Linked DNA regions of Mus musculus. The protein of the gene in region 2 purifies or fractionates together with the protein of the main gene of each other region. This does not show direct contact. Links are inferred from orthologs where the notes say so. Each region holds a gene or a part of one and is shown on either strand. Other genes may lie near its edges. The genes, in order: Tollip, Irak1, Peli3, Irak3 and Map3k7.

Region 1 (3,514 bases), on a different chromosome or scaffold from region 2:
CCACAGTTTTTCCTGTTGGCTGAAGCCAAGAAAGGAGCTGTGTGATCTCATCTGCTCATCTGGCTTGCCCTATTCTGGTAGGAGGACGAGTTGGATACCAGGCACTGTGAAAGCCACAGGAAGATTAGAAATTTAAAAAAATACATAAAAGCCACATCTTGACTTTATGACCCAAGCAGCTATTAATTTATATGGGTAAATACTTTCAATGAAAGCCATGATTTTCTTTTAAGATGTAGGTGCTCAGGGTGAGTGTTGTCTAACAGGAACCAGGTTGTCTTATTCCAGTAACTCATTCATAAAAATGACAATGTTTCTACAACTCCAAAAATTTCAACTCACCTTACTTGTGGCAATAATTAGGGCAAACACTATTGCCTATGTATGCATAAATAATTCAGATATGACACTGGAATAAGTTTTAGAAGGATCCTCATTTAAAGCAGCCATGCTTACACAATTCTACACTACTCAAGCTTCACAGGCCCTTCCCTCCTCCTGTCCTACTTTGTCCCAGGACTGCCTACCAAAGAAGCAGTACACACCTGCAATGGGCACATAGCCAACACCCTGCTGGTACACAGTTGGCATCAGGACCACAGGCTGAGGAGGCATCATCATGGCAGCTGGGAGGGACTGAAACACAACAAAGAAAAACATGTCAGTCAAGGAGGACCACACCATATGTCAATCTTGTTACTTCTGGTATCAGAGGAGTGGTCCTAGCCTCAGCCCAGACATTAACACCCAAGACATGGAGTCCTCAGCAAGAATGTAGTATTCCTGGCCTCTGGTTTCATCTGTACCAACACTCCCGCAGACTGCCTCCCTTCAGCTAGACAACTTGGGCTGCAGACTCCTAGCTCAGTTAGGAAAGTGGTGCACAAGCATGAGGACCTGAGTTCAATCCCCAGCATCTATGCATAAAGCCATGTTTGGTAGCTCATATCTATAATCCAAGGGATAGGGAGTCATAGACAAGAAGATCCCTCAAGTTCATTAGCCAGCCAATCTAGAGGAATGAGATTCAGTTTCAGTGAGAACAAAAGTCAGGGTGAAGATTAAAGAAAACAAATGATATCAACTACTGGCCTCACATGAGCTGCAACCACCACCGCTTCTCACACAGCCCCCTTCACGGTTTGTTCTGGAGACTGCATAAGTATCAGAAGCTTCTCTCAGAAATACTGAATTGGTTTGTTTGTTTGTTTAATATGTCTTAGTGTTCTGTGTGCATGTATATATGTGCATTATGTGTGTGCCTGATGCCAGTGAAGGTACTGAATCCCCTGGAACTGGAGTTACAGTTGGTTGTGAGCCACCATGTAGAGGCTGGGAATCAAACCTGGAAATTTCCACAAGAGCAGCAGTGCTCTTACCTGTTAAGCCACCTCTCCTGGACCAGCTCTAATAATCTTGAACTGTAGATGCGATAGTGTAAAATGGACCTATGCTACATAAAGCACCTGTTAAAGACAGGTAACACTCAACACCAGGAGAGGCATGTAGGATGGTCAAGCTGAGGAGGCCTGCATCAGAGTGCTTTATACTCCCCTGTTCTCAAAGACTCTGCAACAACTAAAATGAAAGGCCTAGATAATACAAAGGAGACACTGGGAGCTCAGATGCCCAGCCCTGCCTCCCATGACTTCCCAAGGTTCTGGGATTCTGGGAGCCATAGCTGCCTCAAGGAGGTGCCATAACCTCTTTGAGGATGGCCTCTCCGGACAGTGAACTCACCGTGTAGGACATGACCAGGTTAATCATGCCCTCCTTGTCATCGCCCTGCCTCCCACTCAGGCTATACCACTCGTCCTCCACTTGGCCCTGCTTCAGGGACTCGGGGATGGTGATGTGGGTCCAAGCTATGCGGTCATCCATGGAGAAGGCGCGCTGAGGAAGACAAGAGTAAAATGACCTCATCATGGCCCACAACAACCCATGTTATAGAGACGAGCTTTTCCTATGGCTGTGACTCCACCTGGACTGGTGCCTGCATCTACCTTCTATCTTCTTGGCAGGAGAGGTTCCTCCTCACTGCTCCATCTTCCGTCAAGGAGCTTCCCATTAAACCATAACGCCAGACCTCCATAGATCACCTAGACCTGGCCACCACCATTTCTGCATCTTCTGAGTAACAACCATGAGGCCAGGCCAAAGGACAATAAAGAATCTCTGGGCTGTCATCCTTGTTCAGGGATGGACACTATCTTCCCCAGTCCTTGGGCCCTTACTCCTAATCCACTAGATATAAGAAGCAAGTATCAAGCCCAGTAGGTACAGATGAGGACAAGAGCTCCAAGCCACCACCCACAGCCCCAAACCTCCTTCTCATATCCTTACTATTCTCAGACACAGAAGGAGGAGAAAGGGACAAAACCAACCAACTAAACAAACAAACAAGAAGAAAGTAGAGCAAGAGGCAGAGGGTCAAGACAAAGGAGAAACTGTGTCCCCTCACTGGGCCTCCCATGCCAATGTCCTCTTTGGCTCTCATGCCTCCATTTTTTTCCCACTGCCCTTTGCTGTTTCAAGGAAACAAGCATATGACCTCCACAGCTAAGCTACAAGGAGACATCTTCCACCTGAGTTTCCTGATTGCCCTCAAAAAGCTGCATGCCTAACTGCTGGAACAGCCATGGGACATTACTGGCAGAGCCTGGAACTCATGCCTACAAGAACAGTGCTCCCATCACGAGTGGAGCCTGACTTGCTTGAAATCTGACGTGCCCGTGAACATCTATTTTCACACTCTACTCATGCTTCTACTGCTGGTGATGGCTCCCAATGGACACTGTCAAAGGAACTGAGAGAAAAAATCTGTAGCTTGTCATTTAGCCACTAAATGCCAGGTGTCCAGGCAGGTCACACCCTGTCACCAGTCACTAAATGCTAGGTATGTATACAGGGCCTGAGCACCAGGAGAACAGCTTCATGACTAAACCCACAAGGCACACTACAGCACACCCATGTCTGTCAGATCCCAAACTAGACAGGTCTGTAACACTGGGGCATCTCTCACCTCATCGAAGATCTCAAGGTAGAACGAGTCCACACCTGGGGGCACTGTGCACTGAATGACTTTGTTCCAGCGAGGGTTCTTGGCCCCATTGTGTGCTGTGGGAGTTTCATAAACAGCATAGCCCAGACGCAGACGGCAGTAAGGGTCCATACGAGTCATGCCATAATTCTTTGCCAATTTTGCCTGAAACAACACCAAATTTAGAAAAATGTGGCATTCACCAGCAGAGACAAAGGCCAGTGCATCTGTAAACTGCTTTTCTTACAGATATTTCCCAGTGTGTGAAAAAACAGCCTTCAAGTTCACCTAATCGTGTCAGTAACCTGCTCTTGAACATGCTGCCAGTCACTCCTGGACTCATGCCCCTGGAACCTAGCCATACCTGGCAACACCTGTGAGCAGTAAGACAAGACCTCTCCTCTGACACTGCACTGAGTGTGCGCATCCTAGGCCTCAGCACGGAGCTGAGGTTGAATGGGAAGTGCGGTCGGC
Region 2 (3,514 bases):
TGTAGGAGTTCTCCTGTGGGGAAGGGGAGCCATGGCCGGCAACCTCTAGCTCCCAGGGAGGCCCTGCCTGAAGCCCTTCTAGTCTCTTGTATACCTGTGTGGAGAGAGAGGCTCTCAGGATGGGCAGAGCATGGGTTCCTGGCTGGGCAAGGCAGCCTAGATCTGACACCCTGTGGTCAAACCACACAGCTACTCTGCTGCTTCAGGTTGGCCTAGACTTGCCTATGTTCAGGTTAATACCACAGGCCCCATACAGCCAACAGAATGACAGATAACACAAAGCTGGTGCACTCTGCAGCTGAGAAAACATTGCCCTTTGTTCCTTTGTCTCATCCCAAGAACTATTGAGATTCATGGCCACCAAAGCCAGGAACTCTATTCTTAACCATCACCAGAAGAGGTGGAAGGTAAGACAAAAAGACAAAGGTAGTGAGTGGCACAGCACCCCCACTTAGGGGCATGATCAGAGCCCTTTCCTTCTACCTGTTCCTGGGATCTGAGGCTCATCCAGCAAAGCAGCAGCCCTTTACCACTTAGTTCCACAGAGCACCTCCCCAAATAGAGCCAAAGGGCAAGCAAGGAATGTTGGGAGTTTTGCCTCTGTAAGAGATCAGGTAGGTACTTTGTAGCTATTGCTATCAAGCAGGGCAAGTACGAAAGTTTTCTTGCTGGCCACTATGTCCCCATGGTTAACTGGCCTCCCCAGGGCTACCTGGGTCATGGGGGGCCTCTTCTTGGCCCGACGGTGCATGCAGCAGCAAGCTAGTTGAGCCAGGGCCAGGCCCAACTGGGGTGGGCAGGGCCCAGGTCTGGAGTCCAGGTGCTTCTTATAGATCTGGGCAGCAATTGGAGCAGCCCAAGCATCCGTGGCTACACCCACCCACAGAGTAGGCTGGGTGCTTTTCAGGGTCACTCCAGCCTCTTCAGCCTCATCTTCAATCAGGTCTTTCTGTAAAACAAATACTGTCAGTTCAGCATGGTTCCACCAAAACTTCCAGGCCACTGCCACTCAGTCCTCTGGTCTTCTTTCCCTAGGTTCATTAAACACCACTGTGTGCCTAGTGCTGTCTGGGGCTCTACTGATAACAGCCACAAATCAAACACTCTGGGCCGTGTTTTACAGTCCTGACATCCCATTGCAGTGGGGGAAACAGATGCCAACAAACCTACTAGTCTGTTAGCAAGGTCCGTGGGGTCTGAACAACCAGTACTTGAGCTGGGATGTGCTAATGGACGCAGTAAAGGAAGGAGGGATGGGTAGAATCTGGTTCAGTTTGTTGGGTTGGTTAAATCCCCCACTGGGCCCAACAGTGGACAAAAATAGGCTTCATCCTGGAGAAGCAATGGGAGATGTAACTCTGTAAAAGGTGACGACCCAGCATTAGCCAAGCATGTTCTGGGCCTAGGAATTGCTGGAATAGTGTTCCTGTGTTAAAGTCTGTTTTCTATATGGGAAACTGAAGCTCAATGAAGAGCAAGAATTTGACCCATGACCACTGTGTTGATGGGACTAAAACCCAGGTCTCTTGTCTTTTTTTGTTTTTTGTTTTTAAAAAAAACAAAAAACAAAAAACAAAAAAGACAGGGTTTCTCTGTGTAGCTCTGGCTGCCCTGGAACTCACTCTGTAGACCAGGCTGGCCAAAACTCGGAAATCCGCCTGCCTCTGCCTCCCAAGTGCTGGGATTAAAGACATGTGCTGGCACTGCCCAGCTTCTTTGTATGTTTGAGACAGTGAACCATGTAACTTACTCTGGTCTTGAACTTACTATATTACTGAGGATAACTTTAAATTTCTGACCCCCCTGCTTCTACCTCCTAAGTGTACATGCCACCATAATCAACTAATTTTGTTGTTGTTGTTTTTGATAGAAGGTCTTGTTATATAGCCCCAGCTGGCCTCCAACTCCTGGCAATCCTCCTGCCTCAGATTTTTGAATGTTGGAACCAAAACCATGTACTCAGATGCTAAGCTTTAGGTCTCTTATTCCTTAGCCCTATCTCAGTGTACAGCAAGGTAGACAGGAATGTAGGGGTCAGGATGGCTTGGAGCTGCTACTTTAACAGCCTGCCTACTTCCTACTGCCTTTACTCAGCCCTGCTCTAAGTTCCACTGAAGGTTTGGTCCCCGGGGTATCTGGAATAGCCCCCTCTCTATCCCCAGTCCAAGGCAGAGGGGGAACCTGTCAAAGTTCTTTTTCCCCTTTGATGGGGATAGGACCCAGGGCCTTGCATGCAATAAGGTTCTACCACTGAGATTACATCCCTATCCTCAAGGTCTAGGTACAAACTAAAGATAGGTTCTTCCGTGCAAGGTAAAAGAAACTGCTTGGGACTCACCCACTTTTAAAGATGAGTCAGCAGCAGCAGTAGCAGGCTATTGTGGGGCAATGTAAAGGATCTGTACCATCCCACCCTCTGGGGCTGTACCCACTGGCTGCAGCTGCCCCTCCCTCCCTCCATGCTCCACCTTAGGAGGCTCACCAAATACTTGGTCTTTGCACCTTGTGTCCTCACAGCCCTCTGACCAGCAAGGGTCTCCAGTATTACCTAGAGGGGGGATAGACAACATCACTTTAGCAGGGAGAAATTGTGTGTAGAAGAGGCTTGTAGCATGGGCATGGATCAGGACTAGTGGGAAAGTAGTCCCGGAACAGGCAGGTACAGACCACCTCCCAGCAAGGGCAGCATTGTTATGGGATGCAAGCTTAAGCAAAAGGATGCAAATTATGACCACAATTTAGTGCAAGGGAAGAGGGAGGTGTATGAGGCAGGGTGATCCCTAAGGCCAAAGCTATGCTAGCTCCCCACTAGGCTCACCTCTGCCTTAGGCCTAGAATTCTCTAGGCTTTCCTGACTTTACTTACTGGTGCTTTTCCCTCCCCAAGCCAACAGAAGGGCTGGTGGCTCACCACCCCAAAGCTGAAGGTATCGGTGTCCACAGCCAGTCGGCCTGTCTTGATGTACTCCTCAGGCAAGTAGGCGAGGGTACCTCGAACTGTGGAAGTCCGGGCCACAGTACTGCTCTGGCTTGCTTTGGCCCCCGCAAAGCGGCTGAAACGAGCCAGGCCAAAGTCTCCCAGCTTGGGCATCAGTCTCTCATCCAGAAGCACGTTAGAACTTGGAAACAAACGGAAGAATGGCACCAGTTCAGGTCCTACTACCTTTCTGTTTTTCTGTCCCCTACACCCAAATGGTCCTGATAAACTGGACTAGAGGCGTACTGCTTATGGAAAGTGGCTGCATTGCATCCCAGCTGTCTGAGGGCCCGCAGTCCCTGAGCCCCTTCACATTGTTTGGCTTCTGCTCACCACCGTGGCTTTATTTGTATACTTGCACCATGCAGGGGTACTCATAGCCCTAAGTACTCTCAGCTCTGAGGTCCCAGGCAACACCTGTTCCCATATTCACAGGACTGGGCAGGAAGAATATCACAGGGACACTCAGAACAGAGCTGTTCATTGAGCAGAGGGTCACTGTCTCCCTGGCCATATGACTTTCTATAGCTCTTCTGAG
Region 3 (4,028 bases), on a different chromosome or scaffold from region 2:
AATGGCTGCTTGCTCTTTCAGAGAGCCTGGGTTTTTATTATTATTATTATTATTATTATTATTATTATTATTATTAGACAGGGTTTCTCTGTATAGTCCTGGCTGTCCTGTAACTCACTCTGTAGACCAGGCTGGCCTTGAACTCAGAAATCCGCCTGCCTCTGCCTCCCAAGTGCTGGGATTAAAGGCTTGCGCCACCACTGCCCAGCTCTGGGTTTGATACTTAGCACTGGCATGGTGGCTCACAACTGTTTGTAACTCCAGTCCCAGAGAATTCGAGTTTCTGGCCTCTGTTGGCACCAGGTAGGCATACAAGTGGTGCACAACCATACACGGAAGCAAAATACTCATATACATGAAAATAGATTTAATATAAAAAAAATAATGAGTCGTTCAAGGGCTGGAGATGTTGGTAAGTGGTAAAGTGTTTATCAAGGTGTATGAAGCCATGGGCCAGATCCTCTCTTGGTTCCTTTGTAGCAAGCCATTTCTGTAAATCTGTTTTGTGGCATCGGGGACAGGGGTGACAGGCCACAATTATCGTACCCGCCTTCCAAGGATTACAGGACTTAATTTGCCCAAATTCAACCCAGAGAGCCTGGTACTGACAGAAGAAAGCCTGTGGCCCTGAGGGACCGAGCACCCCAAAGTGGGCTTTCCTTTGAGGCTTTGCAAAGGATAGAAGCATGCTGTTGGGAGGGGAGGTCAGTGATTCATGTCTCTGGACACCAAGGAGGCCAGAGCTCACTGATTGTTGCACAGAGAGAAAGTGGTCGCGCTGAACTGAAAGACAGATCTGCACTCGAGACAACCGCAGTGGCTTTCCTCAGCCTCCACGGGTGATGCACCTTCCTCCGCCTCTTCTAGTAGTTTCCTTCCCTCTGTTTGCTCTGGGCTTCTCTGTAATTCCGAGATTTCCCCATAAAGGAGGCGGGGTCTTGGAGCAGCGGGTGGGCAGTCGCTAGTCTTAGGTTGGGAAAAGGAGCCTCTAGATTACTGTGTGAAAGGAGGCTCCGGTCTCGGGGAGAACCTAGAAGACCCCAGAATGAGGGTGAGGTGTCCGGAGCCTGGAATAAGAGAGGGGTCTTGTAGACAACCTCTTTGGCTTCCCAGACTACAGCCAGGCTTAAGCCGCAGGAGGCGGAGCCTCGGGGTAAGGTGGGGCCTCTAGGGGCGGAGCCGGGGCGGGGCGTGGGGCAAGGGGTGGGGCGTGGAGGTTTGTGTGCACATCCCTCCCTCCTCCGGGCCTCGGGTGTCCCCGTGACGAGGCTGCACCGAGCAGCCGCGGGCCGGGCCCATCCCGCCGCGGCAGTCCCGGGGCGCAGTAGAGGTGAGGCGGGTGGGGGCCAGCAGCACACAGAGAGCCCCAGAACGCCGCCAGGTGAGGCTGGCGAGGTGGGGGGCGGGGGGCTGTGTTGGGCGTGCGTTGGGGGCGTGTTTGAGTATCTGGGGGTGGCGGGGTTAAGAGAGCGGGTCTGAGGGCTGGCGCCTGTGGCTGTTAGCGCGGAGGCGCGTCTCTGCCGTAGGAGTTCTTGGGTATGCTGTGCCAGTCTAGGCACTGCCCGCGGGACTGACAGCGTGCGCGCGCGTATTTGTGAGGGGCCGCCTGGTGTGTATCTGCGTATGCTGTCATTGTGCCCTTCCCGAGCACGGGGTGCAGGCCTGCCTCTGCGCAGACCTTCCAACGTTGGGGCTGTTAACAGCCTGCGGGCGACTGACTCTGCTGCAGGAGGTGCCCGACTGGGGAGCGCCGCCCCCACAGGCCTCCAGAGACCTAAGCGGCCTGAGGACCACAGACAGACACCTGAGGGAGGGAGGGATCTGGAGGCCTGCCTGCATTGCCAGGCTAAGATAGGGAGACTGAGTCAGGTGGGTGGTAAGACAAAGGCAGACAGATAGAGGAAGGATAGAAGTAGGGACCGGAGTGGGGCGAGAACAGGCAGAAAAGGACGTGCTGGGAGGACAGAGAGTCATTGAGAACAGACAGACTGACAGAGGCCTAGACCTGCTGCAAAAAGGGCAATAAGATTAGAATGAAGACAGACACCCAAGAACCTGACAGAGAGCTTAACTGAGGTCTTGGGGTTAAGAGCTTAAGCCAGGAATTAAGTCTGAGTCTAGAGGTCTCTTAAGTCCTGGCTGCCCCTCTGCCAAACACATTCCATCCAAAGTTGGTATATTGCTCTAACCGACCAAACACTCTGACTCTGATTTTGCCATTTGTTTCTTGGTCTTGTCTCACCAGTCTCCCTCCTTGGTATCCCAGCAACCTCACCATTTGGGGGAAAGGAAGTAGTTATAATAACAAGTGTTGACGGACCATTCTTGCCTTGTGTCTAGCCAGAGCCTGAGAGGAGCTGGGGTGGGAAGTTGCAAGGTTCTTTTCTCTTCTCCCACTGTGCTCAGAATGGTGCTGGAAGGAAACCCTGACGTGGGATCCCCCCGGACCTCAGACCTCCAGCACCCGGGGAGCCAGGGCTCTTGCATCCTGTCTTGTCCTGGTGAAGAAGCACTGGCAGGCGAGGAGCCCATCAAGTATGGTGAACTCATCGTTCTGGGGTGAGCCTCCCTAGTCCAGGAGTGATGTGCTTGGGTAACTGTCCCTCAGGTCAGCCAAGATAACAGTGTGCACCGGCTGCTCTCCCAGGACTCTCTGCTTCTTGCCACTTTCCCAGAAGAAGAGCAAAAGTGATCAAACCCATTTCTGTTGTTTTGTTTTGGAGACAGGGTTTCTCATAGCCTTGGCCTGGAACTTGATGAGTAGACCAGGGTAGCCTTGAACTCGGAGATCCACCTGTCTCTGCCTCCCAAGTACTGGGATTAGAGGTATACACCACAACCAGCAGCCGGAGGCAATTCTTAAAGCTGCTCACCACAGTTTGTAATCAGCTAAGAAAAAGAATAGCAAAAAAAGAGTCTGTAAAGCACCTACTGTGTGTAAGTGTGGGATAAAGAATTCTGATTCTGCACAAAAGGTTCCAATTCTACTTCAGCAAGTTGTCAAACTTTCCTGTGCTTTTGTGTCCTTTTTTTTTTTTTTTTTTTTTTTTTTTTTTTTTTTTTGGTTTTTCGAGACAGGGTTTCTCTGTATAGCCCTGGCTGTCCACTTTGTAGACCAGGCTGGCCTCGAACTCAGAAATCTGCCTGCCTCCGCCTCCCGAGTGCTGGGATTAAAGGCGTGCACCACCACGCCCGGCTTGTGTCCTCATTTTGAAGACAAGGTTGATTCTAGCCTCCCAAAGCTTACCTGAAAGAAAGAAAGGTGGAAGAGATTTTTGTAAAGTACATAGACTGGTACTCAGCACATACCAAGCATCTGGGAGGCAGGTAGTACGAAGTTGTGGACATTACTTCATCTCAACCCTCACAAAGATGCTGCGAGGAAGGAGGTGAAGTAAATGAGGCTCAGAGAGGGGAAGTGACTGGTCCAAAAGCACACAGCTCATAAGTGGGAGGGTTGGGATTTGAACCCAGATCTTCTTAATTGTAGGTCTAGCACACTACACTAAGCTGCAGCTCCTCCTCGCATTACAGACGAGAAAGTGGAGGTTATTACAGAGAAATCGATGGGGCTTGCTCTGGTCTTTGCCTGCCTGGACACCTGCATCTTCCATGAAACCCTTCCCCCAGACACAGATGTGTCTCCCTCTGCTGATCCGCTGTCAGATCATGGTGAAGATTAACTATGTAGCACTGGCTGTCACTTGGTCACTTTTATGTGCCACCTTGCCTTTTTTCAAATACCCACAATAGCCAACTCATATCAAGACCTTGCTATAAGAGTAGCAAACTCTATCAAGCATTTTAAAGCACTTTATCTTGTTTAGTTCTCAAAATCAATATTCCAAGTAGGTTCTGACAGATGAGTTCCATTTTATAGAGGTTGTGTGATGAGTTGAAGAGTGGATGTGTGCCAGGCTCCTGTGAGCCCTCAGCCTGTATCCTGGCCTGTCTCCCTCTAGGCTTGCCACTGCTGGTACGTGAGAAGTGCTCACAAGGGTAAATGAGATGTTCCTCATGGAGGAGCG
Region 4 (4,190 bases), on a different chromosome or scaffold from region 2:
AATCTCTTTCTCCTTGCCTCATGCCGCATTAGAAGACCTGGTGATGCAAACATTTTGAGTGTTACTGTTATTGTTATAGTGAGGATATTAAACATCCTCTGACTGCCCATATACTAAAAGCTTGCTTGCCAGCCTACAGTGCTGATAGGCGACTGAACCGGAACCAGATAGGTCTTAGTGCAAATAAATCAGATCCCTTGAAGGGAATTTGGTACCCTGGCCCTGTCCCCCTTCCTCCCTCCCTCTCTCTCATTTCCTGCCGCCATGGATCACTTACGCTATGACACTTTGGCTTCTCAGAGACCTCAAAAGACATTGGGGTCAAGCAACCATGGACTGAAGTTCCGAGGTTGTGTACCAAACAACTTCTTCTTTTGAAGCTGCTCGGTGGGGGCATTTTGTCAGAAAGCTAACACAACCACACATGGCGATTTCCTGTGCAGGCACACGTCTCAGGTTGCTTTTGTCTGGTCTAGAAAGTCAAAAAGAACCCTGTATCAATCTTCTCTCCCTCTGATGCTCAGCATGGTGGCATAGAGACCCTTTTTGGGGTGTAGCCTGATAAAACCGTAGTCCTTAGAATGAGGAGACTTAAGAAGTTTTGCTCAAACAGTTCTAACTTTGCCACTGTGGGTACTGAATGCCCAGGCACCATTGCTGCTGACCGCCAGGGGGCGCCATTCCAAAGACAAGCTCAGGGGATTGAAACAGGAGTTTGTTTTTCAGTGCCTGGTTATCATAAAATCTCCCACTTCATTTTCCCACCTCCTTTGTCAGTAGTATCCGTACCGTTCCTGCGGTGGTCATTACAGCATAAACGGTAGAATATTTCAACACACCAGCCAATGTTTCCTAAACTTCATTTTGCAAACTCGTTGAAGCACTGCGAGGAAAGAAAGGGAGACTGTAGTAAAACCAAGCGGCACGACGGCAGGGGTTGCCTTCTGCAGCAAGGATGAGCAGTTTGTTTGCCCAGGTTTGGCCTGTTTGTTGTGGTTTTCTTTTTATGTCCATTTCGCCCGGCGTGTACACGTTTCCTTCCGTTTAAAGTTATTTGGCAAAAACGTGTTTCTCGGTGAGCACGCATTTCTTTCCTGACGGGACAAAGAGAAACTTTAAAAGATGTAACACAAACCTCTTAGATCCATCGTGGCCAGGAGGCCGCCCGTCCCAGAGCAGCAGAGGGGTGGCGGCTTTCCCGGATTCCAGCCGCTGTTCCCCGCCCTCATTTTCTTGGCTGGTCTCCTGGGTCATGTCCCAAGACGGGGACGGACAGAACGGTTCATAACAAAGATGACCTGGGGTGCGGCGCGCAGGGTCGCGGGACAGCGGCTAGGAGCAAGGGCAGCCCAGGTCTCGCAGGGCGCATCCCTGGGGAGCGGCTCCCTACGTCACGTGGGGCCCGCCCTGCGACGGCGTGTTGCAAGCTCCGGGCAGCCGTCGTGGAGCTGAATTTCCGCGGTTGTGAAAGGCGGTGACAGCGGCGACCTCCCTGCTTCTCTGCGTGGGGTCCCGGGACTCCGCGATGGCCGGCCGGTGCGGGGCCCGTGGCGCGCTGTCGCCACAGTTGCTGCTCTTCGACCTGCCGCCCGCACTGCTGGGAGAGCTTTGCGGGATCCTGGACAGCTGCGATGGCCCGCTCGGCTGGCGGGGCCTGGGTGAGTGCGACTCAGACCTGCCGGTCCTCCCCCGCGAGGGACTCAGCAAACCCGGGGACCTGCCACTCACTCTCCTTCCCTCTCTGACAGTGGGGTACTGCTGTATCAAGTTAGGGGATTGGGTATGTCAGATGTCAAGAAAGCATCCCGTGCTGGGAAGAGATTCTCGCTTCACTCGGTTTGCAGTGTGCGCAGCAGTATGCAAATATTACCGTATGCAGGGCATGGCTACTGGCTCTACAACCCCTACATCAGATTTTTTTAATATTATAACTTCTTTTTTGAGATGCCGCTCAGTTGCTAGAGTGCTTACCTATAGATGTATGAAGCTGCATGTTCGATTCCCTAGCTTGGAATAAAACAGACAGTGGTAGTGCCAGTCATTGAGAGGTAGAAGTAGGCAGGACAGATGCTCAAGAGCATCCTCTCCTTGTAGAGAGTTCCTAGCTGGCTTGGGAAACATGAGACGCCATCTCAAAAACAAAAAGCAAACTTACTTTCTTTTCTTTCCTTTCTTTCTTTCTTTCTTTCTTTCTTTCTTTCTTCCTTCCTTCCTTCCTTCCTTCCTTCCTTCCTTTCTTTCTTTCTTTCTTTCTTTCTTTCTTTCTTTCTTTCTTTCTTTCTTTCTTTCTTTCTTTCTTTTCTCCTTTCCTTCTTCCTTCCTTCCTTCCTTCCTTCCTTCCTTCCTTCCTTTCTTTTAGAACTTTAAGATATCTATTCTTTGGTGTTTTTTGTGTGTGTATCCCACACTCCTCCCGCATCTAGAAGACAAATTCCAGGAACCAGTTCTCTCCTTCCACCACGGGATCCTGGGACAGAACTCAGATGGCATGCATAACCCACTTCGCTGTTTCCAATAAGTCTCCAATAATCTATAAGGGAAATGCTGTTTGCGGTGGATGTGATTTCCACTTTTCTTTCTTTCTTTCTTCCTTTCTCTCTCTCTCTCTCTCTCTCTCTCTCTCTCTCTCTCTCTCTCTCTCTTTCTTTCTTTCTTTTTAAGATTTATTTATTATATGTAAGTACACTGTAGCTGCCTTCAGACACTCCAGAAGAGGGCACCAGATCTCGTTACGGATGGTTGTGAGCCACCATGTGGTTGCTGGGAATTGAAGTCAGGACCTTCCGAAGAGCAGTCAGTGCTCTTTAACCACTGAGCCATCTCTCCAGCCCCGATTTCCACTTTTCTTAATTAAATGTTTTTTGCTTATTTGCCAAATCTACTGCAATAAAATTGTAAAGAAAGCCTCTTCATATTAATCTCAAAAGTTATCTTCAAATATCCATTTTATGCAGATTTGGTAAACTGAGCAACTACATATTGTAAAGTGGTGATATAGTAACAAAAAAGCTCAGCCGGGCATGGTGGCGCACGCCTTTAATCCCAGCACTTGGGAGGCAGAGGCAGGCGGATTTCTGAGTTCAAGGTCAGCCTGGTCTACAGAGTGAGTTCCAGGACAGCCATGGTTACACAGAGAAACCCTGTCTCGAAAAACAAACAAACAAACAAACAAACAAAAAGCTCAGGCAAAGTCTATGCTTTGTTAAATACAAGTGTTCTCTTTGGAGTTAGATGATAACTCATGCTGTTGTAGTTAATGTTACTTGAAAATACACATGAGTATTTTAAAGCAGCTTTATCTAAAATAGTGGTTTTTTTCCTTTGTGGTTGGCAAACAATATGCTTATAATTTCTGAAACTGTAACAGTTATGTAAAAATGGTTTGGAGAATGGGCTTAGGGTAATTGTTCAGTCATAGACTGCTTTCTTCAAATGAGGAAAGTCCTTGGCTCCATCCTTGGCTCCTAAACAATTTCTTCAGTGAACATCTCAGAAAAGGCTACTTGGAATCAAGTCTTCCCGACTTCAGGAAGACGAAGCTGTTTCCATTTCCAGCCTTCATTTGAGAGAGAAGATTCCTCTCCTATCAGATTGTTCCCTATTCAAGCTAGATCATGGCATAGTGAGTATTTGCGTATATAGACTTACTAAAATTACTGCATTTTTTAATACATCTTTTTTATTGGATATTTTCTTTATTTACATTTCAAATGTTATACTCTTTCCCGGTCCCTGCCCCCCCGAACCCCTTTTCCTCTCCTCCCTCCCCCTGCTTCTATGAGGGTGTTCCTCCACCCACCCACCCACTTCTGCCTCCCCATCCTCAATTCCCCTACACTGGGGCATCTATAGAACCTTCATAGAACCAAGGACCTCTCCTCCCATTGATGCCTGACAAGGCCATCCTCTGCTACATATGCAGCTGGAGCTATGTGTACTCCTTGGTTGGTGGTTTAGTTCCTGGAAGCTCTGGGGCTGGGGAGGGGGAGTCTGGTTGGTTGATATTGTTGTTCTTCCTATGGGGTTGCAAACCCCTTCAGCTCCTTCAGTCCTTTCTCTAACTCCTCCATTGGGGACCCTGTGCTCAGTCCAATGGTTGGCTGTGAGCATCCACCTGTGTATTTGTAAGGCTACTGCGTTTTCAAGAACAATATTTTTGGTACAGTGCTCAAGTGCGGATGGGGCCAGGT
Region 5 (3,514 bases), on a different chromosome or scaffold from region 2:
TGGTTTTTGTGTGGCAATCTACAGTTTTCTCTCCATCTCCCTGGGTACAGCATGAGAGGTATTTGTTCATATCCTATGCAAATTGGAGCAAGAAGCATTTAAAAGTACCGGGATCATGAATCCAGTTCCACAGCCGTTACACCAACACAGGTGGTCTATGGTACCTGATATGACGATCTCAGGGACATCCAGAATGTTGCCAAATGAAGCGGTTTTACGGTGGCCCCGTTTAGGCTTGGAATAGGCTGAAAAAACACACATGTACAGTATACATGCAAACAACCACACACAGTAACACAGGAAATGACTGCACAACAGAACAGTTCTGAAATAGTTGTGTGAATCCATCTCATGCAAAAAAAAAGGGCATGCAGAACTATCTAACTCTTCGTCCATGCTTAGGGAGGCGACGTTAAAGAGCAAAGAGTTTCAGAAGTTTTACACACTGGTTTTAATTAGCAGGAAAAAAACCCAACAACAAATAGAGAGAGACAAAGCTGCAGGACACTGAAGAAGCTAAATTTCCGATGTGTTCTTAGAAATAGTGTACCTAAGTAAAATCAGTGGTATGAGGTGACGGGAGGGACGGCAGGACAGGAGGTGCAGGAGTTAGTAAGACAAGCTGCCATGTTTGTGCTTACGACACAAACAGGAGCAGGAAGATCCTAAGTTAGGTGCGTCCTGGAGTGTGCTATAAATCAAATTCCGTGATTATCAACAGTCATCATACCAAAGCATTAAAACATATTTCCCTAAGTTTATCTACAGTGTTTCTAATAAACTGAATATTTATTACAATTTTAAACGTTTAGAGTATATAACTGTTAAACAGGAAGACTGTCAAAAGCTGGAATATGAACCTTTCAAAGTAAGATAATTCATTAAAAATTCAAATTATTTAAAATTCAAAGGATGTATTGTCTTACATTTAGGTAGAGAGGACAAACTAATTTTATGTATGATTATCCTTAAACTGGAAAAATGTCATTCTTATAATATGTAATTACAAATCTGTATCTGATTAGAAAAACAGGCTTAGCAAAATCCTAAACTATTATGAAAACATTACTTCCCCTTTCAGGGCAGAATCAACATTATGTGTGTATTCTGGATGATAACTGAACTGAAGTGGACCCCCAACAATGCTGGCAGTATGTCTCTGTCTACAGACATCTGTGCTTCATGGAGACCAGCAGACCAGTGATGGGCACTGACCTCTACTGAACCTGACGTTTTCTGAGGATTTATCTCAGGTGGAGACAGCTATTTCCCCACTCATTTCTAGTCTTTTCTTCTCCTTAGCATGGGCTCTGACTTTACTAATGCAGCAATTTCAGCTATGGCTCAGACCCCTTGTGGAATGAGTGTGGAAGCTGCAGAAATTGGTTTCAAAAGCTTTCCCCCCTTCTGTTTCCTTTTCTTTCCTGCTACCTGAGCAGTGAAGTGACGGCTTGAGCTGTCACAACCATTTTGGACCACACGGTAACCTTGAGGATAGAAGTTAAACAACAGAGATTGTGACACAGAGATAGAAAACCAGTGCCTAAAGACCACAAGGCAAATCTAGACTTGTCTCTGTGGGCTCAATAGCTTAGTGTTTAAACACTGTCTCTTCAGACAGTCCTTCCTATCTAAAGGCTTTTAGTGCAGGTTGATAAATCAGTGACTGTGATTAGTTTAGACAAGTACAGTACAGTTCATCTGGATGCCACTCTCTACAAAGAGAACACACACAATCAGAACATTTTACTTAGAAAACATCTCCGTTTACATTTTTTTTAAAACTCTGTATATATAATTAAAAGATATGCAGATACATCGAAACTATCCCCCGAAGAGGAGAATTTATCAAGTTTTTACTGTTATTTGTTTTACACTTTTACATGCTCCAATACAATGCTCATTTTTACAATTCACTCTTGTCTAACCTTGGAAGATCAGAAATAACAAAATAAGACTCAAATTAAATTGGCACCACTAAAGTGAAACCCGGTTTAAAAAAGGTGCTGGTTCACCAGGTGACAAAATGCCATTCTTTTTAATTCTGGCTACGTTGTCTATTGTACATTTTAAGAGCTGACAAAATGAAATTTAAACACTATCAAAGCCAACGTCTGATGAAACTACTACTATTGATTCTATCATCAGATAAGCAAACAGCTAGCTGGGCGACTCTGGCCGCTGGCAGGAAGAGCAGGACAACAGCTCCTGGGGCACAATTTCCTGCCAATCATGTTTCGTTTCTTGGGCTCAGCATAAAAACACTGGAATTACTCAGCCATAGAAAATACTCTGGTATTGGTGAAAGTTTGATTTCTGAAGCTTGTTTATGTTTGAGGAGAAATATATTTGATATATTTGTTACATTTGAAAGTCTGTAACTAGGAAGTGTATTTTATAATCCAAATACATTTTAAGCCATACTTGTCTATTTAAAATTTGAACCAAAACCTTTACTGCTGAAAGCTTAGAAAACACCGTGAACCCACCATCTGTTTTTAGAAAGCAGATATAAGACACGACCCATCGGCCCTATTGAATACAACCGCGAGTACCATGTAAAACCATAGGCATTTTCTCTTTGGGCTTGCAGCCCCTTTACCTGCAGTCGCCACGATCCTGGCTTCTATTTCAGACATGTCAGCACTCATCCTCTTGCCCTCGGAAGTGGGGGGCAAGCTCTCCACACTGCTCCCACGAGAGGCTCCCAAGCTCAGGCGTCCAGATTCACTCTGTTAGGATTACAGGTCAATCTCAGTTACTGAGGATCTTTTCCTGTAGAGATCCTGGGCAGCCCAGGATGAAGATGGCAAGTGGCTTTTCATGCTGATGGTGCTGTTCTGAAGCAGGGAACCTTATAACGGAGGGACCTAGTAAAGCACAGCAGGCTCAGATATACACGGCTCAAAGCAATCACTTATTACCAACAACAGCCGTAATACAACCAACCTAACAGGATGACAGCCTTGTGAGAACTTAACTGGTCCATAGAACCTAAATACATTTCACACTGTTTGTAGGACCCTTAGTTAGAGATGGGTCACAGGGAGGAAGGGGCAGGGCTAACAACAGCAACAGACAGGAGAAAGGAAAACAAGTTGTTTGGTAAAAAATGACAGCAAAATTTCATGTCTCTTACCACAAGCTTATTTGTCTGGTACAGAAAGAAAACTCAGGATTGTTACATATCAGAAGATTGCAAATAATCTATAACTTTAGTATAATGTTGTGACTACTAGTAAAGAAAACATACAATTTTACTTTTAATAACAAACCTGTTGCTTTGCCTGGTTTTTCAAAAGTTTTGACTCCAAGCGTTTAATAGTGTCGTTTGTGGCAGGAACCTGTTCCATATTTGTGTCACTTTTATTACTGGTATTTGTAGAAGCAATGTCCATGAATGAGCCTAGAAAAGCAGACACATTTCAGACTACAGGCTGGGAATAATATGAATGCCTTATTCAATAGTGGACAAGACATATGTAAAAATAAGACTTCTACACCAGTGAAAACA

What was found.
Region 1: the proteins of Irak1 (region 2) and Tollip purify together in Homo sapiens (affinity purification with western blotting; 11 studies listed by BioGRID and IntAct, with this or other methods). This does not show direct contact. The link is inferred for Mus musculus from reciprocal best matches to the Homo sapiens genes IRAK1 and TOLLIP.
Region 3: the proteins of Irak1 (region 2) and Peli3 purify together in Homo sapiens (affinity purification with western blotting; 7 studies listed by BioGRID and IntAct, with this or other methods). This does not show direct contact. The link is inferred for Mus musculus from reciprocal best matches to the Homo sapiens genes IRAK1 and PELI3.
Region 4: the proteins of Irak1 (region 2) and Irak3 purify together in Homo sapiens (co-immunoprecipitation; 3 studies listed by BioGRID and IntAct, with this or other methods). This does not show direct contact. The link is inferred for Mus musculus from reciprocal best matches to the Homo sapiens genes IRAK1 and IRAK3.
Region 5: the proteins of Irak1 (region 2) and Map3k7 purify together in Homo sapiens (affinity purification with western blotting; 5 studies listed by BioGRID). This does not show direct contact. The link is inferred for Mus musculus from reciprocal best matches to the Homo sapiens genes IRAK1 and MAP3K7.

What each region holds. Positions count from the first base shown.
Region 1 is NC_000073.6:141,888,962-141,892,475, forward strand, and holds part of Tollip (toll-interacting protein), read right to left. Parts: intron 3,206-3,514; coding exon 3,023-3,205; intron 1,894-3,022; coding exon 1,741-1,893; intron 637-1,740; coding exon 546-636; intron 1-545. UniProt on the Homo sapiens protein: Component of the signaling pathway of IL-1 and Toll-like receptors. Inhibits cell activation by microbial products. Recruits IRAK1 to the IL-1 receptor complex. Inhibits IRAK1 phosphorylation and kinase activity.
Region 2 is NC_000086.7:74,017,418-74,020,931, forward strand, and holds part of Irak1 (interleukin-1 receptor-associated kinase 1), read right to left. Parts: intron 3,119-3,514; coding exon 2,911-3,118; intron 2,549-2,910; coding exon 2,483-2,548; intron 950-2,482; coding exon 713-949; intron 601-712; coding exon 484-600; intron 95-483; coding exon 1-94.
Region 3 is NC_000085.6:4,940,291-4,944,318, reverse strand, and holds the start of Peli3 (E3 ubiquitin-protein ligase pellino homolog 3), read left to right. Parts: upstream 1-1,226; 5' UTR 1,227-1,381; intron 1,382-2,406; 5' UTR 2,407-2,407; coding exon 2,408-2,559; intron 2,560-4,028. UniProt on the Homo sapiens protein: E3 ubiquitin ligase catalyzing the covalent attachment of ubiquitin moieties onto substrate proteins. Involved in the TLR and IL-1 signaling pathways via interaction with the complex containing IRAK kinases and TRAF6.
Region 4 is NC_000076.6:120,198,795-120,202,984, reverse strand, and holds the start of Irak3 (interleukin-1 receptor-associated kinase 3), read left to right. Parts: upstream 1-1,387; 5' UTR 1,388-1,525; coding exon 1,526-1,658; intron 1,659-4,190. UniProt on the Homo sapiens protein: Putative inactive protein kinase which regulates signaling downstream of immune receptors including IL1R and Toll-like receptors.
Region 5 is NC_000070.6:31,991,605-31,995,118, reverse strand, and holds part of Map3k7 (mitogen-activated protein kinase kinase kinase 7), read right to left. Parts: intron 3,407-3,514; coding exon 3,276-3,406; intron 2,733-3,275; coding exon 2,603-2,732; intron 246-2,602; coding exon of another isoform or gene 165-245; exon of another isoform or gene 109-164; intron 1-108. UniProt on the Homo sapiens protein: Serine/threonine kinase which acts as an essential component of the MAP kinase signal transduction pathway. Plays an important role in the cascades of cellular responses evoked by changes in the environment.